2 linked regions of the Macaca mulatta genome follow. The protein of the gene in region 2 interacts with the protein of the main gene of each other region in a biochemical or structural test. Links are inferred from orthologs where the notes say so. Each region holds a gene or a part of one and is shown on either strand. Other genes may lie near its edges.

What was found. The genes of interacting proteins can lie anywhere in the genome.
Region 1: the proteins of DHX9 (region 2) and AKAP8L form a complex in vitro, tested with the Homo sapiens proteins (2 studies listed by BioGRID). The link is inferred for Macaca mulatta from reciprocal best matches to the Homo sapiens genes DHX9 and AKAP8L.

The regions. Positions count from the first base shown.
Region 1 is NC_133424.1:15,964,368-15,966,684, forward strand, and holds the end of AKAP8L (A-kinase anchor protein 8-like), read right to left. Parts: intron 1,189-2,317; coding exon 1,093-1,188; intron 1,006-1,092; coding exon 712-1,005; 3' UTR 640-711; downstream 1-639. Other genes in the region: AKAP8 (A-kinase anchor protein 8), read right to left, coding at 301-319. UniProt on the Homo sapiens protein: Could play a role in constitutive transport element (CTE)-mediated gene expression by association with DHX9. Increases CTE-dependent nuclear unspliced mRNA export.
Region 2 is NC_133406.1:40,318,622-40,322,280, reverse strand, and holds part of DHX9 (ATP-dependent RNA helicase A), read right to left. Parts: intron 3,406-3,659; exon of another isoform or gene 3,269-3,405; intron 2,449-3,268; coding exon 2,402-2,448; intron 917-2,401; coding exon 780-916; intron 470-779; coding exon 380-469; intron 294-379; coding exon 132-293; intron 1-131. UniProt on the Homo sapiens protein: Multifunctional ATP-dependent nucleic acid helicase that unwinds DNA and RNA in a 3' to 5' direction and that plays important roles in many processes, such as DNA replication, transcriptional activation, post-transcriptional RNA regulation, mRNA translation and RNA-mediated gene silencing.

The sequences.
Region 1 (2,317 bases), on a different chromosome or scaffold from region 2:
ACAGAAACGGCCCGCACAGCCCAAGGCGCCCCCCATGAAGCCCACCGCGGCGTCTGCCCCAACCCCGAGTCCCGCCCGCCTCTTCGGGCCCTGGCGGCCAATCCGCACGCAGCGCCCCGGGAGCGACGGCGCCAAAGCCCAATGAGCGGCGCGCGCGCGCGCTCTGGCCGCCTCTCTGCAGGGCCCGGCTGCGGCAACCACACTCCGGACGAAGGCCCGGCCCGCGGCCGTCTGCGCAGCGGCTGCGTGGCTCGCACTCAGCCTTCGCTACCTACTCTGCACCCAGCAGCCTACACAAACCTCCGTAGCCCTGGTCCATGTCTTCAACGCGGCCCACCAGCAGCCCCTTTTACTAGGAGACCACAGCACGCATGCGTTCAACGCACCTCCGCCGTCGACTACTGGAAGACTAGGCGCACACGTCACTACTTCCGCGCGCTCCCATTGGCTGGCATTCACGAGGGTCCGCCCTCACCGTCCCAGCTAGCCTTTCGGGCTGCGAAGCTCCACCTCCGCAGCCTGTCGGGAGTTGTGGTCCCGCAGCGGTGCCCGAGGGCCCGGCCCGCGCGAATGCGCGCCCCGCCTCTCGGCCCGCGCCCCGCCCGGCCCGCGCGGCACCGTAACAGAGAAACCGGGAGGTGGGATGGGAAAACTTTATTAGGTTTGGCTTCCAGCTTCGGCCACGCGGGCCCCGCCCGCCCCGAGCTCGGGTCACGGGACGCCCCCGCCGCCCTCCTCGTCGTCCTCAACGTCGAGGCCCGGGATGCCGCGGATCTGGCGTTGCAGCGCCCCTCCCAGCAAGGGCACGGCGCCCTCCTCCTCCTCCTCTGGGGGCGGCGGCGGTGGCGGCGACACGGCGCCGGGGGCTGGCTCTGGGGGCACGGGAGGCTGCACCGGCGCGCCCTCTGCACCCTCCGAGACCCCTGCCGCTTCGCCCTGTGCCCCCTCGTCCAGGGCACCGCCCTCAGCCTCCTCCTCGGGGCTGTCGGTGAAAGGGTTCTCGCCCTGTGGGGAGGGGCGCGGACACTGAAGTGAGGGAGCACAGGCAGGGACTGAGGTGGGGACAAGCCCAGGCCAGGACCAGCGCCTCACCTTCAGGTAGCGCTCCAGCTTCTTGCTGATGAGCTTGTTGTTGAGAATACTGCGGGCCACCATGAGCGAGGACTTCTTGGACTGCTCCATCATGAGCTGCGGGCAGGGCAGAAGGGGCTGGAGAGGCTGCTCTGAGTGCCCTACAAGTTCCCGCCCCGACCCTGCCAGTTTAGAGGGACGCCCCCCTGCCCCTCCACCCACGCTTCCACCCGCTTCCACCCGGAGCGCAGCCCCACCAACGGAGGGCCACTCTACAAGCATGGAACCACAACCTATCTGATCTTTGTTCAAATTCCTTCTCCTTCCACACCACACTTACTGTAGGTAATTAAAAATACAGATCTATAGATCTCTATATATCTTTACGGCTGTATTACAGAAATCTGATTTGCTTACAAAAAAGCTATAAGCAGTGAACAAATTAAGAAACTAAGAGCCAAAGGTGCAACCCATAACAAGGTGCCAACTAGGCTAATAGGCAAGGAGCACTTTGGGACCAACGGGGAGGGTATAAAAGCAGGAACAGATATTTAATCAAACATGTCTTTTTAACCCACAGAATTCCAAGAATGAAGAATTATTCCCAGTCATGCAAGGTTGAAGAGACACTTCTATGCTGCTGGGAGGATCAACTGTTTCCATATTTTTTGGAAAGCAGTTTGACAGAATGTATGAAAAGTAAAAATCTGTTTCATTAATCCCTTCCCAGAACCTATCCTAAATTTAAGAATTGGAAACATACGTGCACACTGATTGTAGTGGTGAAAAATGGGAAAACACCTAAACGTTCCTCAGTGCAGAAAAGGTTAAATAAATTGTACATTCAAAAGAACGTCATGCAGCCCTTCAAATCGGGCTCATCTCTCCAATGGCAAAAGAAAGGTGTATAATATAGTACTGTCTGCAAAGCATGCCAGAGCCATTTTGTCTGGAAGGATTTCCGTCAGTATGCGGGGCCATTTCCTCATGGTGGGAGTACAGGCAAATCTCACTTTGATCATTATAAAAACCGTAAGCTAAAAGGAGGATATTTTTGGCGGGGTGGGAGAGCCCACTGAGTCCCGCCCACTCCATTTACATGTTTCAGAAAGCCTTCTCACTTGCTGCTTCTACTCTCTCCATCTTCATTTTTTTTTTCCTTAGCACGTTTTCTCTACTACTGGAGGAAAATATTAACAGACATCATACATGCTCATAACAAACTAAAGATACACAATTAGGATAC
Region 2 (3,659 bases):
AAAGCCAACATGGTCAAACAAAGCATGTAATTCTGCTTCAAAATAAATCCATTTTTTACCTAGACATACTAATGAAGTATAGTCAAGAGTAAAACACAAGAGTCTCATCTCAAAAACAATATTACACTCACAAAAGCCAGAGGCCCCTCATCAATGTTGCTACTAGTCCAAGGATTCCAGTTGGATTGTGGAGGTGACCAAGGAACCACACCCACTTGGTTTTGTCGCTGAGATGGTTCAAATTGAGCCAATTTGCCAATGTTGAGTGCAACTGGCACAGAAGGATCTTCAGGCTATTAAAAAATAAGAAAAAAAAAATATGACTTGCTTGTCTACTGAGTGTTTTACACAAATGTGAACTAAATAGCTTTATGCTTACCGGGGGCAAAATCTCAAGGTTTAGCTCTTGAATGATGTTTTGCAGTTGATGCTCTAAATCTTGAGAGAGGTTTACTTTGTAAGGCTCCACCTACGGAAAAAGGATCACACATAACAACACTACTCAAATCTACTACAATGGGGCTAAGACTATACAGTCAATACTAAGTCTACAATATTCCTAAACCAACAGTCAGTTCCCTTTAGTGCAAGAACTACTTCAATGGTTATTTACTCACTGCCTATTATGAACATTATGCCAGACACAGAGATGATTAGCAGGACCATTTTCATTCCCTGAGGTAAGATTCCTTGAAATTAAACTTCTTTAGCCAAATACTAAACAAGAGCTAAATTGAATCCTACACTATCTCACAAGTCTATTAAATCTAAAGACTCACTGTCTCTCCTTCCTTCTTCTTTGTAAGTCCAGAGTAAGCTTCAACCACTCCAAGATGGTAGAGTTGTCTGACAAGTGACAGGGCACAGGACTGTGCTGCCAGTTTCTTATTTGATCCATGTTCTCGTGCAAAAATCCCTGTAATGTAAGGTCAGGATTACCAGAAAGAAATCACCTAAGTGAAGAAACATCACAAGAAACTATGGGTTTACGTACACAAGAAGCTCTCAAATACAGTGTATGCCATGGGTTCTAGCTAAACAAAAGAAATTGCCCAACAGCTTAGCAACTAAATAACCAACTGTTTTGGTTACGGGCTGATACTAGGACTCATACAAATCAATATTATGAAAGCAAATAATCTATTTCAACAAAGTTGTCACTGTTAAGATCATCGGGCATTAAAAAAGGGGAAGAAAACATAGTTTGAAAAGACAAAGAGTAAAAAATAAACCAGTAAAAGTAATTGGGTCCAGAGTGGTTAACTAGACCAGGATTTGGGAAACTTTTTCCATAAAGGGTCAAATAATAAATATTTTAGGCTTTGCAGGCCATAGAGTCTCTTGTCACAACTACTCAACTCTGCCTTTAATGTGTGAAAGCACTTACTGACAATAGAGTTTGACAAACCACAGGCCTGGGAATGGCTTTACGGTTTTCAGGATTTGTAAAAATAAAACGAAAATAACAACGTGTGACCTGTGAAGTCTAAAATATGAGTGTAGCTATGTTACACAATAAAACAGTTCTTATAAAAACAGGCAGTAAGTTGGATTTGGCCAGAGGGATATAGTTTGCTGACTTCAGCATTAAACTAAAGCTAAGTTACTCATATCCTTAAAGAAAATATTAATAGAAAGTTTCCTCTCCTCCAGTATCATTCAGCTTTAGGAGAGATGAATATAAAGCAAAGGGGTACAAAGATATCTTTCTGCCTAACTAGCCAAATTAACCTTGATAAGTGAGCTGACATAAGTTAGCCCGCCTTTATCCTCTCTCCCTTAGTATTACCCATCCACTCAAAATAACTCATTTTATATATAAAAATGAAAAAATGTTTTAAGGCCAGGGGCAGTGGCTCACCCCTGTAATCCCAGCACTTTGGGAGGCTGAGGCGGGCGGATCACAAGGTCAGGAGATCGAGACCATCTGGCTAACATGACGAAACCCTGTCCCTACTAAAAAATACAAAATAATTAGCTGGGCGTGGTGACTGGCGCCTGTAGTACCAGCTACTGGGGAGGCTGAGGCAGGAGAATGGGGTGAACCCGGGAGGCGGAGCTTGCAGTGAACCGAGATCACGCCACTGCACTCTAGCCTGGGCGACAGAGCAAGACTCCATTTCAAAAAAAAAAAAAAGTTTAAAATTCTTTGACGCTGGCAGATTCCTAATCATCTCACTGTGTCTTACTTTTGAAATACTACACTAACACGGTCTGTTTTCACATGCAAACTGGGAGACTTTGCCTCTACTTTATAATTACTAATATTCTAATATATACCCTAGATGCTATCTTATATCACGTGCTCTTTCAATAATACAGCTTCTGTATTTCAAGACTTAAATGTGAAGATTCCTTCTCTATACAAAGACTTGGAATATTGGGTAACAGTAACACTTACTTCTGCCCAGCTGCTTGATATAAATGGTCATTTCTGCAATAAAGCTCCTGTAACAACATATACAAGCAAGGTTAGAAATTTCACTGTTAGAAACTGGCAAATCCAGGTCTCCCAAGTCAGGCAGGCTTTCCAACTGCTTAGGCAAATCACAGAAAAAAAAAAAATTACCAACATTTATTTCTGCCCAACCCTAGAACAAATGAAGTATATAAACTTCATATAATATACAACATGGCATAACACAACTATAATCAAAGTTGATGAGCCAATTGTTCATGAAAGGAAAACGTTAGGGTATTAGATTTTATATTTACTTACTCTTATTCCAAAGGCTGGAGTCTCAAGAGCTACAACACATTCCATGAAAAGGAATTTTCCACTTAGCTTGGAGCCAAGAAATAAAGCAGGCCCCAAATGTTTTACATTACAGTTATAATTATTGTAAGATTCCTTTGCATAGGCCACTCAGTAATGACTGCGATCTATTAAGCTAATATACGCAAACACACATGCACATACACTTTGTGCATAATCAATGGCTCCTGAGGCAGAGTTCTCACATCTGCCTGCAGTTGGAAGCAGCCCTGGATGACAAAAAACTTAGCCTATTTTTATCACATTTATTTAAATCAGGTCCTGGAGAATAAAACACATGTTGTAACATTACATCTAAAACTGCTAGCAGAGTCTAAAAAATGAATTTAGGTTTTAGTAAGGGAAAAACTGCCCTTTGAAAACTATGCATTCTGGTCCCTTCACTGCTCAGATACATTCTAACCTAGACTTGGTGGTGTGAATAAAAGGCTGGGTGAGGCTTAAGAAAAAAATAAATGTTAAGACTCCTTCCTATACCTCGTGTGAACTGACCTTCAGGCACAGCGGCTTCAGGGGTCAAAGGCCACTGGCTTTCAGGGGAACAACATCCACCCTTTCATTAATGACATCGATGCCAGTATGTTTCTCAGCCAGGCTTAAAGTCAGCACTCAATCTCATTCTCCTCCACCTAGGGGGAACAGCGACACCAGAAATCAGTTTACAATAGTTTCCCATGTGATTGCTTAGTTCAGCCTAAGCAGCAGCACATGTGTGTATGAACACAGACCTCTGGTGTTGCTGTCTGTTATGCCTTTAAATAAAAGGACATACAAAGAGCAATGCTGTCCTGGCTCCCCCAATTTCTGTGCCTCCCACATTGTCTTTTCCTGAATTCGTCACTGCTTTGTATCAGAAATCTATGGTAAGATACTGATAACAAAA